Ovis aries: one gene and its partners. The protein of the gene in region 2 interacts with the protein of the main gene of each other region in a biochemical or structural test. Links are inferred from orthologs where the notes say so. Each region holds a gene or a part of one and is shown on either strand. Other genes may lie near its edges.

Region 1 (3,973 bases), on a different chromosome or scaffold from region 2:
CCTGCAGGTGAGAGGAGGGTGGTTTATTTGAGGAACTGAAAGCAGTTCAGAGCAGCTGGAGGGCAGAGGATGGAGAGGAAGCCCAGGCCCGGAGAGGGCAGCGGGGCCACGGGAGGGAGACTGCGCTCTGTCCTCAAAGAAACAGGGAGCCGTCGACGGACGCAGAGCAGGGGAGGGACAGACTCAGGTGGGCGTCCTATAAACATCTCTGCCTGCCACACAGCAGGAGCTCAAAGAGTTTTCATCTTGAGCCTCTGAAACCATTACAGTCCCACCTAATCAAGCACACACTATCTGCCACGTGGGAGTACCTAAAACCTGTGTCTCCATGGAGACACAGCCCCAGCCCCAAGGTCCACAGCCCTCCTGCTCTTGCGTTAGGGAATACGTTAGGGAATAACGGACTCTGGAGCCTCGGTTCAAATCCAAGCTCCTCCGGTTTCAAACCATGTAACCTTGGACAGATGACCTCTCAGTGCCTCAGTCTCCTCATGTGTAAAATGGGGATAATAACAGCATCCAATTGGGTTGAAGTGAAGGTTGAGTGACTCAGTACAGAAAAAGTGGCTGCCTCCTGGCTCCTGGCAGATGCTGTACACTGCTGGTTTCTACTGTTTTTTCTGCATCCCTGGGCCAACCACTTGCAGGCACTAACCAAACTATCCCCCATATCCTCTCCCAGCCCTGAACATCGCACCCTTCCTTTCTCCATCACTGGGGGTGGGACAGAACCAGACGCGATTGAGGACAACCCACTGACCTGGGCCTGGGGCCTCGCCCCAGCTCCCTCGAGTGCCGTGGACAGAACACTGGACTTGGAGCCAGGAACTGTGTCCTGGGCTGGGCTCTGCTGCTGACCCTCAGACTCCCGCTCTGTGAGATGATGGCAAGGACATCTCGCTGTCTTATCAGCATGGCTATCAAAGGAGCAACGAGGGCTGCAGACGCCCTGAGAATGACCATGTCACAGGCACGGCCTTGCGGCTGGACCAGAGCTCGTGCTGGCAGCGTCCTCCTCTGGCCTACACTGGCTCCTCCACACAATCGTCAGATCTGTTCAGAGCTCGCTGTGAGGACCCCAGAGGCTGAGCATGGCCTGCCTCGAGCCTTCCCAGATGCCCTGATGCTGTCCGGGACCCTTCTAAGGGCTGGGACAGAGACAGAGAACCTGGTATGGGCTCAGTACCCTGGGAGGCAAGTGCCAACCCAGAGGCTTGAGGCAAGTCAGACCTTCACCAGGGCCTTCCAGCAAGCCTGGACCAGCCAGGGACTCAAGCCTGGTGCCCAAAAAGACCCTCTAGAGCCATTAGGACCCCAGTATCTATCTCCAAATGCCGTAGCTGCTCATCACCTCTAGGCCAAGGAAGGGCCTGAATGGGAGAGTCTGTTTTCAGTAGCTCTTTGGCCCTGGGGGATGGGAGGAGAGCCCAAGATGGGGTTCACCCCCCTCCTTCAGGGTGCCAGCTATTTCTCAGGGTTCACGTGGATTCATTCACTCATTCCACAAACATGTACTTGGTGCCAGACCCAGGTCAGGTGCAGGGGCAATGACAGATGAATCACACAGACTTCTGTCTTGAAGCACTTCCGGTCTATGGGCCACGGGAGAGGCACAAGGCAGGCTAGGCTGGAGAATGCGGGGCAGGCGGCACGGGTCTCACCTGGGATAGCAGGAAGCTACCTGGAGGAGGGCGCGTGAGTGGCTTATGGACCTGTGATGGGAAGGCCGGGTGGGTGAGGGATGGAACCTCCAAGACCATTGACAGTCCTGTTTGCACCCTCGCCAGGCCAGAGCCAGGACAACGTGAGTTATTTATGGTTGTGCCCAGAGAAAAGCGGGCACATGTGTCACTGCACGTGGGGTGCAGAGCTGGGCGGTAGAGAGTGGGGGGCGGCTCGGGCTTGGAGCTGGGTCGTGGCCAAGCTCTGTGGTTTGCCACTGTGTCCCTCACACCCTGATGACCTTTTAAGCTTTTCAAGGCCTCCCATAAGGCAAAACTAAGGAGGAGAGAGAATTCCAACCGGCAGCAAGTGGCCTGGGGGGTGGGGAAGGGAGCAGGGCCAAACAGACCTTGGCCTCTGCGGTCTGTGCAGGCCATTTATCCTCACCTTCTCCTCCTCTCCCACCTCCCATCTCAGCAGTGGGGAAAGGGGGCAGACAAGACAGAAAAAAATATCTTTCACTGTAAACCAGACAGGACCGAGGGCGGGCATCAGCTGCTGTATTTCTCCCCAGCCAACTCTGGTCCACAAACAGCCTACGCACCAAGCTGGCATCAGCCTACCCACCCTGTTGGGACCGGAACAAGCCAGGCCAGAGCCTCGGATGGGACCTGGGGCCTGGGTCCCACCTTCCCACGGCACCTATTTTCTGCGTTTCCCCCCCCCCCCCCCCCCCCCGCCCCTCGGGTGAAGGCCTCCGCCAGGTCCGTCTCCCAGGGGGCCCAGCTCAGGGACATCCTGACACTGCCCCGGGTGATGCTCAAGAATCCCGGCGCTTGCAAAGCACCCGCGGTCGCACGCTCACCTCTCTGCAGGTAGCTGTCCGATCCTCCCCCCTGTCCGCCTCTGCGCCCGCCCCCAGCACGCACCCCTAGACTGGAGCGCTCCCTCCCTACCCCGTACCCAAGGGCCAGACCTCTCACCTGGGGGCAGGGGCGCCCGGCACCATCGGCGGCGCCGCGGGGCCAAGCGGGGCGTCTGGGGGCCCGGCCTCAAGCCCGGCCGACTTCCCGGGGGGCAAGAGAGCCTGCGCCGCCGCGTCCCTCCGGACCTTGCCCGGGGCTGCGCGAAGGAGGAAGGTCAGAGCCGAGGAGGAGGGGAGGCGGCGGGCGGAGGCGCGCAGATGGGCGCAGATTAGCGAGGCATTTTTAGCGAGCCAATGGCGGCGCGGCGCCGGGCGGAGCGGTGGCTGCGCAGGTGGAGGCGCCGCGCTGCTGAGGCGGCAGCTGCCGGCTTAGGAGGTGCGGGGGGGGCGGGCAGCACCCCCAGCGCCCGGGCCCGCGCCCTGCTCCCCCTCCCAGGGTTGCTCCGCGGCGCCCGGCCGAGGGGCTCTGGCTGCGGCGGGCGGGCGCCGAGAGCGTCTCCCGCGCGCCCTGGTCCTCGGCCCCCTGCGGGAGCCCCGGGGACCCCGGGGCGTCGCTCCCCTCCCCCTCTCCGCCCGTTCCTCACTTTTTTAGGTCTGGAGTCTGTGTGTGTGTGTGTGGCAGGGGGGTGCTCTGGAGTGAGGACACCTCCTCCCCCAGCACCGCACCCATAACCCCCGCACCCCGCACCAGCTTCTTCCAGAAATGCCCAAACTGGCCCCACGGGGAAGTCACCCAGGCCACCTCCTAAGGGGCTCTCTGAGCGACTCGTTGGGACCCCCGATGCACTCTTCCTGTCTTAAACCCTGCACGCTTCCGGAAACCTAAACGCTATGAAGGGCGCTGGGGCAGCTCTCTTCACTGCAGATTTGTAAGCGGCTGTCTTGGATTTATAAGGAGGGTTTATTCAACACCTATCTACTGAGAACCTGCTTCCTGCAGGGCACTGATGAGCGGCTGGACTGTAGCAGAGTACGAAACAGACCAAATTGGGGTTAGGGGGATAAATTGGGAGACTGCGATGGACATATGCACACTGCTGTGAATAAAACAGAGAGCTAATAAGCATCCAGTGTAGAGCACAGGACTGGGATGTCCACATCACACCACTATATAAAAAATAGAGAGCTAATAAGCTTCCAGTGTGGAGCACAGGGAAGTCTACTCAATACTCTCTAATGCCCTGTATGGGAATAGAGTATGTATATGTAATGGGAATATGTATTTGTATGGCTGATTCACTTTGCTGTACAGCAGAAACTAACACACCATTGTAAATCAACTATACTCCAATAAAAGTTAATTTAAATTAATTTATTTCTTAAAAAAAACGCTAACCATAAAAAAAAAACACACATAGACAAAATCTCTGCCCTCAGGTGCTCATG
Region 2 (3,515 bases):
CGCACCAGGCCTACCCCCAGCCACGACACGTGGACGAAGAGGGTAAGCTTCTGCTACGCTGCAGGCAGCAAGGCGGCGTCCTGAGCGAAGCCTGGGGCCCTGCTGCTGACGGGGACGCCGTGCATCAGGGCCCCTTCCGTTTCTAAGGTTGCAGCAGTTGTGGGAAACAGTCGCCACCCTCATGCCATGGACGGCAGAAGCGCAGTCCTAGGGGTCAAAGTGGCCTGCCCTGCCTCATGGAGCACACCGCTCTGCCTGGCACACAGGGGTCAGGGTGGCAGTGATTACAGGTGGCTCCCGCAGGGAACCCCGCACCCTCCAGCCGAGGGGCGGAGACACAGGCTGAACCCGGCTCAGTACCGCCCATCAAGGGGGCACCGCCTGACCTGATCTGAACACGGGGAAAGAAACGCTCTCTCACACACACATGCACACACACTCCGTTACCGTGACAGCTTTGTGTGTATTACAGAACATACGCACACGACTGTGTCCTGCCTCAACTCCTCCCTGGAATAAAAGAAGGCAGATCCCACCACCGCCCCGGCTCCCGGCAGCTGTGTTAGGGCGATGCGCCCACAGGGCCCCGGCCTACCCAGCGTGTTGATGCGGTAGATGAACTCTTTAAAGACCTCCTTCTCCTGGAGGAACTCCACGGGGATCTCAGGGAACACTGTGCCGAAATCCCCGCCCGGTTTGGGTGACCATCCGAGTTTCCATACCTAAGAGGGTGGGAGAGAAACAGTGAAGGCAGGGTGGCCGGACAGGGAGGGCACCTGAAAATGCGCCTTCTCTCCCGACAGCTCCCTGGCTGCAGACACGGTTGAACGGGGGAGCTCTCCGAGTCCAGCGTTGTCGTCCGGCGCTGCTCCAGCGGCAGGAGCCCAGCTCCCAGCCGGCCCCTCGAGGGTGCGAGCCACCAGCCAGGGCTCGCGCTGGGTCCCCGAGTCCGGCCCCTGGTGCAGCAGCTCCAGTGCCTCTGGCACTCTCAGGGAGTTGCGTGGGGTGCAGCACTCGCGCAAGGAGCCTCGCCTACGGGGCGTGGTCTGTGCGGGCCAGACAGCAGGGCCTCCGGACTGTGCCTTCCTGTATCTGCTCCCCACTCCCTCCCAAAGGCTCAACACCTGCGGGGACGGCCCGAGGGTGGCACCAGCTCCCCGGCTCTCCTCCCATTTCCACGGTGACCTCAGGACAGCAGCTGCTGGGCTTTCTCTCAGAAGGAGCCCCCAGTGGGACTTCTTCCCCTCCCACAGCAAAATCCTCTTCAAGCCAAGGGCCTCTCACCTCCTCCGAGCAGCCACTGCAGAATCTCGAGCGCACAGAGGTTGCGCCCCCCGCAGCTGGCGCGCGCCCTCCCCAGGTAGCAACAAGCACCTGCCTCCGGCCCCGGCCCGCCTCCCCCGGACGGCTAAGCCCCACACCCTGCTCATCCAGGCCCTGCCAGTTATCTGGAGCCAGGTCCTTTAACGATGCCCACTGGATCGTGGTTCCAGTTCCGAAGCCAGCTTTGGAAGAGCAGCTGAGCTGCGGCTCTGCCAAACCCCCGGGCCGCCCTGGGGTGACTGCTGACAGGGGTCTAATTTCTGCTCTCCCACTAAACAAACGGGCCTGATGACTGTAGAATCATGCCTGGCGCCTGCTACGTACCTCCTCACCCCGTTTCAGGGCACTCCTACTAACGGCCGAGCTACGTCACGCCCGAGGAACCCGGACGGTCGTCTTGACTGCACACAGGCCCCGTCAGCGGGCATCGGAGCGCTCATGACCTGGCTTCCTGCTCAGGGACCCCCGAGTTGGGGGCCTGCCGAGAGTCTGCCTCGTTTCCGTCCTGCGCCAGGGGAGGGCAGACTCACCAGGGGCGGGACACGCGTGTAGCTGTTGACGAGGGGCAGGCGGGCCAAGCTGATGATGATGTTCCTGAGCACCGGTGTGAGGAACGCGGGCGTGTGGCTGTTCCTCTTGTGGCCCAAGGCCAACACCGACGGCAGGCACTCCACCATCTCGGCCACCATGCCACAGGCTGCAGCGACGTACTGAGGGGCTGAACAGACACCACCGTAAGAGGCCCCTTCTGTTGAAACACACCCCGAACCGCCGCCCCGCCCCCGACCTGCCCAGCCTCGCAGGATGGGAGGCACAGGCCAACCACGCGCCAGAGACGTGACCTGTCGTGGGCGCCTCACGTGGACTCATTTACTTCACCCTCCTGTAGCCCCATCAGCTGAGCGGGACACCCCCGCGGGGAGTGGGGTCACAGAGAGCCAGGCGGCGGAGCATGCCCACAGCGGGGTGGGCAGGGCGCCACCCCCAGCTCCAGGACAAGCAGGATACAGCTGAGGTCGGGTCAAGCGTCCACACCGACCGCGCGGGAGGCCTCTTCCGTGACCGAGTCTCAAGCCCCTGCAGGCGCGGCGGAAGAGGCGTGAGCCTGAGACTCACTCTGTGTGTCTGAGTCCACGCCGTCCTCTCTGGCAGACCTGGGGGCGCTCGTCCTGCTTTCTGGACTAAGAAGCTGGTCCCCGGGCTGCACCACAACTAAGATCACAACAGAACAAACAGAAGCGTTCCAGAGCATGTCGACCACTCCTTTCTGTTCAGATTTTTACATTCGCGCAGCCTTATGAACATTTCCCAAGTGACAGACTAGGTCGAAAGAGGTTGAAATTTCCTAGATTCAACTTGGGACGATTTCAGACCCACTAGACTCGGGTATCAACCTCTGGGTCAGTCTAAAACGCTTCTACACTTGAGTCCCCAGTCCTCCTGCTCGCTGCCACCTCTGACCCTGAGGGCTTTCATCAGGCAGCTCATGATCCATTACTGCTAACAGCATGCCTGGAGCCCCAAGAAGCCTGGCTTTGGTAAATCACTCCCTGGATCCTCGTTTTCATGTTACTACAAATGCACAGATGAAAACAATTTAAACAATGACTCTTCAAAACACCACTCTATATTTAATTTAAAAATACAAAACATCAAGACACCCTCTCACATGTAAACTATAACACCCAATTTTAAAAACATTTTGACTAATGACCCTTGTTAAGGACACTGTCCCTTGAAAAGAATAAGACACTTTTATTTCAAAATTAATACAGTATAGAAACAAGCATTTCGACTATAACAGAAAACAAGGAATTTTTTTGAACGTAATCTTATTAGTCTTATGATGATTTACGACTAAAAGAATGAAACAGTTAACCAGGACCAGAAATCAAAGGGCCATAAATTAGATGCATTTTTTAATGAAAGCTGAAATTCCAAATCTACACAGAAGCAACTAAATTCTAGTGCCGACTCCAGGAGACTGGAGATGAAGGCAAGGCCCGTAAATCCTCCACCTCCTCACTCCCGAGTCCCAACTCAGCACCTGGAGAGCAGGTGGCAAGCGACCACTTGCGACTAGCCCTGTGGCGCTGACCGCCGCTTCAAGGGCCAGATGACAGCACGCCCCCGTCTCAGACTCACTGGCCTCCAGGATGAACCGCACACAGTGGATGAGGGAGCAGGCGTGG
Region 3 (3,515 bases), on a different chromosome or scaffold from region 2:
TTTAATGTTCCTTTTTATATATGTGTGTTATTCACAGTCCTTCGTAAATAGGATTGTTCAATCAAAGGCCTTATTTTTTTTAATTAAGTGATTAGAACGTTTTAAATGGTGTAACAGTTTTATGGGCTCTTATTTTCTTGTTGCTCTAGATCTCAGTTCTATAGATTTTAAATAGATTTTTATTTGATTTGATTCCACTGAAACTAGGATACCAGAATACCATTGTTGCTGGAAGTCTTATTACAAAATCAAACCTGCATGGTGAGCTGCTTTGATAATTCATTTTCTGTCATTATTTAACATTTTTAGAGTATGTCACTAATGTTCACTAACCATAATTGGATAAATCTGCAGTGAGAAATTTCTAATTCAAAAAATTCCTTTCATTTAAGGGTTATATTATAAATGAGCTTGTAATTTTTAACGTTGTACTTGGACTTTCTTTTTTTAAACAAAAGCATCATTCGATAATTGAACAAAGATATCATATACAATATTTCTAAAGACAGCTCTGAGTGTTGGTGCATACATGGAATATGTGACTTAACTCATTTAGCAGATAGAGAACCTTGAACTCTTTTATCAGTTTAAATTTTGTTAACATACTGTCAGACTCTGCATTTAATGCTGATTTTATTTTACCACAACATTGCAAAATAGCCTTTATGTTTATTAATGGAGAATTAAATTAAAATGCCATGCATCACAGAATTAAATTAAAATGCCATGCATGACAGAAGGAGAATATTCTAGCATCCTCAACTATTCAGAACATTCCTGCAAATCTATGAATATTACCTACTATAAAAACCTTGGACTTAAAATAGATTATGGGTAGGAATTGAGAATTTATTTTTTACTCTGACTTATAATAGAATCTGGTGTCATAATCTATATCCGGTTAGAAAAAACAAATTGTAGGAGAATGGGACTGTTTGAAACATAAGATGACATCTGAAGGAAAGAGAATAAGCATTTCTTAAAGGCACTGTGCTCTTATGTCTGTTTAACTTTTCCCTGTGTTACCTCATTCGCTTGGATGATCATTTTATCTGGAGAATTGAATTAGTAGTGATAACACCTTCAGTATGTTTTGTCAGCCATTCTAAACACATTTCCTTTCAAAGGGGACAAGTTTCAAAAATACTTCGATGGAGTTAAGCTTATATTATCATTTACATGGAGCACCTCATTCCTAATAATGTGAATAAATGAGATATCTGTGTTACCTGTAAAGAAAAATTTACTTTAACTAGATTGAAATCTGAAATACTGAGTGAAGATCTTTAAAGCTTAACTTACATTTCTATACTAGCACTGGCTAATAATACTATTGTAGATAGGTAGATTCCCACTTCATTCATGTAAGGAACGTCAAGCTCATTTCTGATATAACCCTACTACAAATAGTTGGTGTGCATAACTATCTATCTACCTGTCAATGCTAGTATATATGTGCTGGAATTTCATAACATACATTCAATCCCATTTTGAATTTAGTATCTTAAAGAAAAGCAAATGGTTTTATCCCTGAGGAAAATGTTGTTTTATTTCAGAATTACGCAGATATTTTAAGAGTGTTTTTGCAGTAGCCAGCAGCCTTTGAGAAGGTAGCATTGTGGGAAGAAGCTCTCCTAAAACCTGCTGTTAATTTAAAATTTGTTTTTATTCTTTAATTTCTGTCCTGGAATTTATAGAGCACTTGCACTGTAAATGTAGTGTTTTGTTTTTTTTTTTTTTTAAAGGCTGATAAATTAAATCATACTGTATGGAACTTTTAATCTCCTTTTAAAGTTGTTTTCAGTGACTTTATTTAAAAACTATGTAATATTTATTTAACTTTTCCTTTTTTCTTTTTAATAGCAATGATCAAAGCTGAAGAAAGCAGGTAAGCAATTTTGGACATCAGTACGTATTTATAAATTTACAGCATCCTCCTATAACATCCTTGTTTTAATTGTCTGTATACATAGTGTTTAACATGGTAGACCTGATAGTTTGATATCTTTGGAGGATTTGGGACAGGGGAAGAGATGTACTCAGGATACACACATGATGCTCCTAGACAGTTATTTGAATTTGGACTACATCCTTACCAAATTAAGACCATTACAGAAATGTCCAAAATTTGATTTTGGTTAATTTGAGAACAGATGAAATATTTTATCTATCTCTTCCTTTACCCAGATTTTCCTTTCAGTGGGTGAAATAAATAAAATTTAAAGAAATTTACAATATAAATTGAATTTTAAGGCATAATACAATCTAATTGGACATTTTGCAAATGAAAATGATTATTGGTTTTGGAAATGCAGATTGTTGCATCAGTGCATTATATGTTATCACAAATGTTTGCCAAATTAAAGTAATTCTGTTTCATACTGTGGTTTTAATCTTTTTAGATGGCTTAATAGTTTGGCAATACTGCCCTTTTTCCCTTTAGTTTCTCTTATTCATTTGATTTTATAGTAATTTAAAACAGACTTTATTTGTGTTTGCAATTATTTGTATCGAACTGACCAGTTTTCTCTTTTTTAAATATATAGTAAACAAGAAGAGTGCACCACAACATCAGCAGCCCCAGTTCCTACAACAGAAATTCCAACCACAATGAGCACCATGGCTGCTGCAGAAGCAGCAGCTGCTGTTGTTGCAGCCGCAGCCGCAGCCGCAGCAGCTGCTGCTGCAGCCAATGCCAGTGCTTCCACTTCTGCCTCTAGTACTGTCAGTGGAACTGTTCCAGTTGTTCCTGAGCCTGAGGTTACTTCGATTGTTGCTACTGTTGTAGATAATGAAAATACAGTAACAATTTCTACTGAAGAACAAGCACAACTTACTAGTACCCCTTCTGTTCAGGATCAAAGTGAAGTGTCTAGTAATACTGGAGAAGAAACATCTAAGCAGGAAACTGTAGCTGAGTAAGTCTAGTAACTTGTTTTCTGCAAATCAGTCACAGACATCATTGGTAACAAGAAATTGCTGATTTAGTCAATGGTCATTACGTGTTTAAAAATTGAGAATCAAAACATATACCTTTAGATAACAGTTTTTGAGATTTACTTTTGTGGGATCGTGCTCTCAAAAGTGTTGCAAAACTATTCTACTTTAGCTTAGAAAGCAGTGCTGGTGATGGGGTGAGTCTATTTAAGTCTGAGTTATGGCTTAGCACAGCACTGCAGGGAAGTTGCTATAAGTTGATACTGAACAAATATGGAAAAATCAAGATAACACTTAACAATGTATAGGCAAGCTGTTAGTAGGATTAAATTGGTACAGCTTTTTGATAAAGCCTGAGAGCTGCATCTCTGAGTTTACAGGTTCTAATTTCAATAGCTGTGCTTTCTGTGTCTATGAAAAGTAACCTTGAGCTATGCTGCTTGACTTAAAAGTTATCACATGTGAAATATTAACCATGATATCAAGATCCAAACATGATCACCCATCTTAATATTTAAGTCTATTGCTTTCATCTCCCTTCCTCTTTTCATAAACTTTTTTTAATTTTTAGTGTGAAT
Region 4 (3,515 bases), on a different chromosome or scaffold from region 2:
AAAGTAAAGAAATTACGTTTTTTTTTTAAAAAAGAACTTAAGAAAAAAATAAGCACAAAAATAAGAAATGTACAAAAACAAAAAACAGTTTGAATTCTTTGTAGGTTACTCTATATTATGGAAAAAACCCGAATCAAAAACACTTAAGTACATGGACTTCCCAGGTGGTCCAGTGGTTAAGATTACACACTTACAGTGTAGGGAACATGGGTTCAATCCCTGGTCGGGGAACTAAGATCCTGCCTGTTGCATAGCACCCCCCAAAATTTAATTAAAAGGGGAAAAAAAGCTCTTGAGTACAGTAGAGTTTCCCTCTCACAAAGCTTCAAGTGGATTTAAGTTTTTGAAATAAATTCTCTGACTTCCACCTAAGTATGATTTCATTTCTGTTATGTTTTTTTTCTCTGCTCCTCTGCTAATGTGTGCTGTTAAAACCCAAGGCAAATCTCTTTTGGAAATCTCCATAGTGCCCACTAATGGATCACACATGGTACAAATTGGTTTGGCAAAAACATTTCAGAACTGATTTCCTGAGAGGAGCTTAGGATTTGCTCCATATAGGGAATTTTTTTTTTTTTTAAATATACCTTGAATTAGTTATGGTCCTTTTTTCCCCTTTTTAACTTTTTTCCATCCCATCTTCTTCCACTGATGTCTCTCATAGTACTCTATCTTTTCAGCTTTTAATCTTTACCTTTTGGCTCTTGACCTTTATTTTGGAGAAGGGAAAGCTTTGTAGTTGTAAAATATTATGTTTTAAAGTTCTCCACCAAATGCTTAATGGAGAGACCTTTTGTTCACTAATAAGTTCCCAGTCAAAAATATCACCACATCACCATATTCACAGTGGCTACCATGGAAAATGCATGTATTGAGACTTAACATCCAGAAAAATACAGGAAAATGCCTCATAGATTTCACAAGTCACCTTGAAAATGACATCACACATTGGAATTGACTATAAAGATTTAGCTGTTGATATTAAAAGTGAAGGCTTTTGGGAATTCCCTTGTGGTCCAGTAGTTAAGACTCTGCACGTTCACTGCAAGGGGCACAAGTTTGGTCCCTGATCCAGGGACTAAGATCCTGCATGCCATAAACAAATTTAAAAAAATAAAATGAAAAAAAAAAAAAGAATTGAAAAAAATAATAAAATAAAATAAAATGAAGGCATTTGTGTGTGTGTGTTGAGAAGTCTTTTTTCTTTTTGTAAACTGTACATATCTAAGTGCACATTTTGATGTTTATTTATTTATAGCTACACTAGGTCTTTATGGCTCTGTGGGCTTTCTTTTGTCGTGATTGGGGGCTACTCTTTGTTGTGGTGCACCGGCTTCTCATTGCAATGGCTTCTCTTGTTGCATTGCACGGGCTGTAGGGCCCGCAGACTTCAGTAGTTGCAACCCCTGGGCTCTAGAGCACAGGCTCAGTAGTGGTGGCACATGGACTTAGTTGCTCCATGGCATGTGGGATCTTCCCGGAACTGGTTCGAACCTATGTCTCCTAAGTTGATAGGCAGATTCCTTTTTTTTTTTTTTTAAATAAAAACTTCGATTAGTTTTGAGTGGGTCCAGTAATTACTGTGGGTACTTTATGACTCTAATTTTGTCTCTAAAATGAACAAAGAATAATTGTGTTTTCATTTCCAGGGGCTCTGGGGATCCTGGCAAGAAGAAACAGCACATTTGTCACATGCAAGGCTGTGGCAAAGTATATGGCAAGACCTCACACCTACGGGCACACTTGCGCTGGCATACAGGCGAGAGGCCTTTCATGTGTACCTGGTCATTCTGTGGGAAACGCTTCACACGTTCAGATGAGTTACAGAGGCACAAACGCACACACACAGGTGAGCGGGAACTTGGGAAGGGAGAGGTAGTAATGGACCAGAATGAAAAGACAAAATATACCTCGGAAGTAACTAAAATTTCTGAGCAACTTATGTTTGAAATTGAATGTATGGATCATAAATGGCATTGGAGTTAATCTGAAAACCCTTAAGAAATAAGGGTTCTGAAGGTCCTATCTTACTTTTCTGCTATACTTCTTCCTTTCTGAGGACTCTCTAATCTTTACTCTTTTTTCCCCCCAAAAGACAAAAGATAATCACCAGAATTTTCTTGTTTTTAATCACCTTTAAGATTAGTCTTATTCTGCCTTATATAGTTTGAAGGGAATGAATTGAACAAGGTATCCCTACTTCCTAAGATGTGATTGTCTCATCTTCTTACTCTTCCTTTACCTAGGTGAGAAGAAATTTGCCTGCCCTGAGTGTCCCAAGCGCTTCATGAGGAGTGACCACCTGTCAAAGCATATCAAGACCCACCAGAATAAGAAGGGAGGCCCGGGTGTAGCCCTGAGTGTGGGCACTTTGCCCCTGGACAGTGGGGCAGGTTCAGAAGGCAGTGGTACTGCCACCCCTTCAGCCCTTATTACCACCAACATGGTAGCCATGGAGGCCATTTGTCCGGAGGGTATTGCCCGTCTTGCCAACAGTGGCATCAATGTCATGCAGGTGGCAGATCTGCAGTCCATCAATATCAGTGGCAATGGCTTCTGAGGTCAGGCACCTGGGGCCAGAGACGTATGGGCCATACCCGTCAACCCTGGGATGCAAGGTAGCATGGGTCCAAGAGACGCGTGGGAGAGTGAGCCGTGAGGCATTGAAATGCGTGGTGGTGGGAAGAATTGGGGGTGGGACACAGAAGAGATGGGGTCCTGGCACCCACCTGTGTCATCAGTACCTTCTTAAAGTGGGAAACATAGTGAAAATTCTGTTGGTGCCACCTTTGATGAGCATTTGTTTGACCCCAAACAGTTTCTGAACACTTCTTACCCCAGCCTCCCCTTCCTGCATTTCCCTTCTCAGCTCCCCCATGATGGATCCCCCCCTTTCCTAAAGCCATCATGCCTTGATAAATATATATGATCATTGAAATACTTTTTAACAAAAACAGATTCTATATTATATATATATATATAAAAGATATATAGAGATGCATTTGCAGGGGTTGGCTGGGAGGAGGAAGGAGACCATTCGGTGACCAAAATACCTTGGTCATTTTTTTATATTGCCTTATTTCCTTATGGCTGAGCCTTGTTGTGACACATCAAGATTTTCTATAGATGTTGTCTTGGCTTCCCACCAGATTAAGCATTTATATGCTCTGCTTTTAGTTTATATATACATAGATAATGTTTTCCTTTTCTTAATTTTGTCTTTTAATTTGGGATCAGCTTCTTGCACTCTTTCCCTGACTCAACCCTTTCTGTCTCCCCTTCTCTCACCTGATCACTTCATGTTTTGTTTTTGGTAGTGGTCCCTGGATGAGGCACTTCTGTCATGTTTTTATAAAGTCCTTAGTCCCAGCAGCAGAATGGAGAAGCCTTGAAGCTCAGGCGAATGCTTGAGGTAGCTGTGAAGAGAGTGTTCAAAATACTACTGACGCAGGCACCCTTTTGGTGCTGGAGAGTCAAAGGCACCTCTCTCTTCATTAGCTGCTCTAAGCATCAGG
Region 5 (3,959 bases), on a different chromosome or scaffold from region 2:
CAGTTTACAAAATGCCTCCAGGTATATTATTTAATCTAGTCTCCCATAATCAACCTGTGAGGTAAGTAGTATCCTTATTTTGCAATAAGGAACCCAAGGCTAAGAAAAGCTGGAAAACTTGCCTGGGACCACAGCCCCTCCATGTGCCTGGCTATCAAATTTCAGCCTCTTCCAGTTCCCATACCAGTGCTCGGCCCAGTACTCAGAAGCCACACAGAGCTGTGGTTAAAGGTTGGGATCACAACATGCTGTCTGACCTTGGGCAAGTTACTTAACTTCTCTGTGCCTCAATTTCCTCCAGATAAAATGTGGTTGATACTCACCTCATAGGTCCTTGTCAATATCACCTCACAGTACTTTACTGAAATTAAAGAAGGTGATACAATAAAGTACTCAGAAAAGTGCCAAACATAATTAGTTACAATCATCCGCCCACCTTCACTGATTCCATGGTCTCTTAACTCATTAAATTTTTTTTATAACTCATGTTCATATGGCTCAGACTGTAAAGAATCTGCCTGCAATGAGGGAGACCAGGGTTCGATCCCTGGGTTGGGAAGATCTCCTGGAGAAGTGAATGGCTGCCCATTCCAGTATTCTTGCCTGGAGAATTCTGTGGACAGAGGAGCCTGGCAGGCTGCAGTCCATGGGGTAGCAAAGATTCAGACACGACTGAGTGACTAACACACACATACATTGGGTAAGTAGTCATTAAACAATACACATTTTTGCAGATTGACTAAGGTGAGGTTTTTAGAATTGTTCTCTTTCCTTTTCTTCACTCTCTTATTGCCCTAATAGTTTCAACAACACAGAAACTCTTTTCCTGATTCATTCTACCTCCCTTACACACACACACACACACACACACACACACACACACACACACACACACGCCACTAGCTCAAATCTGGCCAATTATCAGTGCCCCACAGAATGTAAGATACTGCCTAACACTGACCTAGACTCTCCTTGTTGGGACGTCCCTGGATAGCTAGAGAAACTTTCACAAACCTAATTTCCATCACTATAATGGGTCAAACTCTTATGTGTATTTCTCTATTGCTCCAGTTTTTACTGGAGACTCTAAAAGGAATGAATTACCATTTATTTTCCTTGTCCATTACAAGAAAGATTTACACTGTTTCCTGGAGCAAGAAGCCTTGTGTGCCCAGGCAGCTAGACGAGGGCATAATGCCCATAGCAGACAAGCATCTTCCTTCCTTTCTGGGGTCCAATCCACAGAATTAGAAAATAAAGCTTAAACCCAGCCAGACCCTGGGAGAGAGAAGTAAAGAGCCTTCTCTCCCATCCCGTGTGGGGTAGAATGATGACCTAGGGAGGGGACACTGCCTACTTTACACCACCTGGACACACCTGTGAAGGGCCAGAGGTGCCTGGAAAAAGAAGAGGAATTAGTCTCCTGGGTTTTCATGAAAAGTTTCCTTCTTTGCAAGATTCCCTACATGGAACACTCGATCAGGACCTCACAATCTTTATCTAAAACCCCACTGCCCTTCCTTCACATGGTACTAAGTTTGGGGAGGGCGGTGGGGAGCAGAACAGAACGGGAGAACCAGCTTCTGGCAGCGGAAGCCCCCTGGCTCTTCAAAGGTTTCACTCCGAGAGCAAGAGTGAGCGCGAGTGAGGAACAAACTTGCCCATACAACTTCAGCAGTGGGATTAAAAGAAGTGCTGTGCCCTTCGAAATGGATTTTGCATACAAACCAGCCGATGAACACCATAAACATGTCAGCTTTATTCAGTCCAATCAATACACCAGGCATTAAAACTCTGAGGTAAAAATGGATTGTGGCTTTTTGTTGATGACAGTGAGGAATTTTGGCCCCTAGCCCTGCTCAGGCTGGACAATTTAGGGCAGGCTGCCTATTAGCTGTCAGGCACATTTAGGGGGATGAAATCAAAACCCCGATTCAGGGTTCTGGGCACCCCAGAACAACCCAACTTGACCCGAATCGGGGCCACTGGTCCAGGACCCTCAATATCTGTCCTTGGGCCGGCCCCCTCCTCCAGCCCCCGGTCATCTTCCAAACTCGGCCACACACCGCATTTCCTACATTCCTTCCTCCGGGCTCAGACCCCTTCAGTCCGGTCCTCCGAGGCCGACAGCTGGGGGCTGGCGTGAGCCAAGCTAGAGGCACAAGGAAGGGGATGCTAGGGACGGGGGGAATGTCAACGCAGTCCTGAAGTGATCGAGCGGAGAGTACAGGGCGCCCCAGCCCTCACATTCCCGACTCAGCGCCCCACTCTCTGCAGCCACACTTGCGACCCCCAGCGCCACCCCCCCCCCGCCAGGGACCTTCCCCAGCTAGGGGCACCCCTTCCATTCGGCCCCCTTTTCGCGTTCCTTCCCCTCTCACCGCCCCCGTGACCCCTGCCCTGCCCCGCCGGGACCGGCTCCAGTCGGTCGCACCGCGCGGACCGTGCCAGCTGCTCAGAGCCGCCCTGCCCTCTCCCCCAGGCCAGCCGGGATGGCCCCGGGGTCCCCGACCTTCCCAGACCGCCTTGACCACCGCACCAGATGCCCCCTTGCTCAGTCCTTCCCTGGGCCTGCAAGATCCCTACTCCCTTCGAGTCCCCTCCAGGACACTGCGGGATGCCCCAGCCGTGCACGACCGGGGGTGTCCCCCACCCCGCCCCGGTCCTCACCTGAGTCCGCTCAAAGCTCTCCCGCTCCGCAGCCTCCATCCCCGCGCCAACCCCACGCCGGCTCAGCACCTTCGGCAGGGGGTTGGGGACCTGCTTCATGGAGCTGGCCATCCGGTCCATGTCGCCGCGCGGAGCCGAGTCAGGGGCCCTCAGCCGCCCCGGGATCCCCACGGCGCCGCCCGCCCCTCCCTATCCACTGGGATCCGGCGCTAACGGGAAGGCGCCCGCCTCCCATTGGCTGAGAGCGCTGCTACTCTGCCGAGGCCCCGCCCCAGCCCAGAGGCTTCCCCGTCCGCCCCCGCCCTCTCCAGAGCCCCCGCCCCGGCCCTACCCTGCAGGGCGCTCCGGACCGTCAGGCGCGCCGGGACGGGCCCGGAGGCCTGTCGGTCACCGGCCTCCACCGCCCCTGGCGGGGGCGGGCCTGACCTGCCCTAGCCCGCCCCTTCCCCGACGCCCAGAGCGCGGCTCTCCCAGCCGCTGGCTGCACCCGCGAGCTCCCAGCGAGCCGCACTCTCCCAGTCCCCCCACCCCACCCCGGGCGCCGCGAGGTCCCGGCTTGGTTGGTGGGCGGGGGTCAAGCTGGCGGTGAGTTGGGCCTGCCGCAGGGAATCCGGGCCCGCGTGGGACTGGCCTGTTAACTCTTTTCGGGCCGGAGACAAGAGCGCGCGCGATGGACCAGCTCGGCGGCCCCTGTCCCAGGATGCGCTTGCCCTGAGGCCGGGCCTCCGCAGGTTGGTTCAGCGGGTCGCAGACCTGGCCGGCGTGGGTAGCGGCTCCCACCGCCTTCTCCCTCGTCCTGCCCCTGCCCCGAATCCCTGCCCATCCCTTTTGTAATGTTCGCAGACCAGGGAGCGCTGGGCTGGGTCAGTGGAAACTTCTCGACACCTTTACAAACCTCTCACCCTCTGGATCTGGTCAGGATGTATTCGTTGGTAGAAACCCATGTGGACATTTTAATATTTATCCCCGGCTCTGGGACACCCCTCCCATCCTGCTCCGTCGTCAGCCAAGGTACTGACGACAGGCGTAGGGGGGATGGAAGGGGGTGGAAGTAAGATCCTTAGCCGAGATGCTGAAGAAAGTTAAAAGTTTTCTGTTCAAATGCCAATTTTGATGTTTTAAAAATAAATGCTTTTTGCAACTCAAAGTAAAGAAAGGCGTTACTTTTTTTTTTTTTTTTTTGACTAAGAGCTTTTGATAAAAATTCACACATTCAATAGAGAAGCAGAAGAGGGGGTGGGCCTATGTAGGCACTGGGGAGCCTCTGACGGCTTTGCCAGCTGGCATCG

The links.
Region 1: the proteins of HTT (region 2) and PACSIN1 form a complex in vitro, tested with the Homo sapiens proteins (2 studies listed by BioGRID and IntAct). The link is inferred for Ovis aries from reciprocal best matches to the Homo sapiens genes HTT and PACSIN1.
Region 3: the proteins of HTT (region 2) and PRPF40A form a complex in vitro, tested with the Homo sapiens proteins (2 studies listed by BioGRID and IntAct, with this or other methods). The link is inferred for Ovis aries from reciprocal best matches to the Homo sapiens genes HTT and PRPF40A.
Region 4: the proteins of HTT (region 2) and SP1 form a complex in vitro, tested with the Homo sapiens proteins (2 studies listed by BioGRID). The link is inferred for Ovis aries from reciprocal best matches to the Homo sapiens genes HTT and SP1.
Region 5: the proteins of HTT (region 2) and HIP1 form a complex in vitro, tested with the Homo sapiens proteins (2 studies listed by BioGRID). The link is inferred for Ovis aries from reciprocal best matches to the Homo sapiens genes HTT and HIP1.

Annotation. Positions count from the first base shown.
Region 1 is NC_056073.1:8,655,019-8,658,991, reverse strand, and holds the start of PACSIN1 (protein kinase C and casein kinase substrate in neurons protein 1), read right to left. Parts: upstream 2,805-3,973; 5' UTR 2,646-2,804; intron 1-2,645. UniProt on the Homo sapiens protein: Plays a role in the reorganization of the microtubule cytoskeleton via its interaction with MAPT; this decreases microtubule stability and inhibits MAPT-induced microtubule polymerization.
Region 2 is NC_056059.1:116,338,661-116,342,175, forward strand, and holds part of HTT (huntingtin), read right to left. Parts: coding exon 3,469-3,515; coding exon of another isoform or gene 3,371-3,468; intron 2,536-3,370; coding exon 2,440-2,535; intron 2,042-2,439; coding exon 1,854-2,041; intron 723-1,853; coding exon 596-722; intron 1-595.
Region 3 is NC_056055.1:156,941,824-156,945,338, forward strand, and holds part of PRPF40A (pre-mRNA-processing factor 40 homolog A), read left to right. Parts: intron 1-207; coding exon 208-261; intron 262-1,863; coding exon 1,864-1,888; intron 1,889-2,546; coding exon 2,547-2,918; intron 2,919-3,515.
Region 4 is NC_056056.1:133,094,310-133,097,824, reverse strand, and holds part of SP1 (transcription factor Sp1), read left to right. Parts: intron 1-1,649; coding exon 1,650-1,849; intron 1,850-2,246; coding exon 2,247-2,560; 3' UTR 2,561-3,515. UniProt on the Homo sapiens protein: Transcription factor that can activate or repress transcription in response to physiological and pathological stimuli.
Region 5 is NC_056077.1:34,461,023-34,464,981, forward strand, and holds the start of HIP1 (huntingtin-interacting protein 1), read right to left. Parts: upstream 2,812-3,959; 5' UTR 2,791-2,811; coding exon 2,671-2,790; intron 2,096-2,670; exon of another isoform or gene 1-2,095. UniProt on the Homo sapiens protein: Plays a role in clathrin-mediated endocytosis and trafficking. Involved in regulating AMPA receptor trafficking in the central nervous system in an NMDA-dependent manner. Regulates presynaptic nerve terminal activity.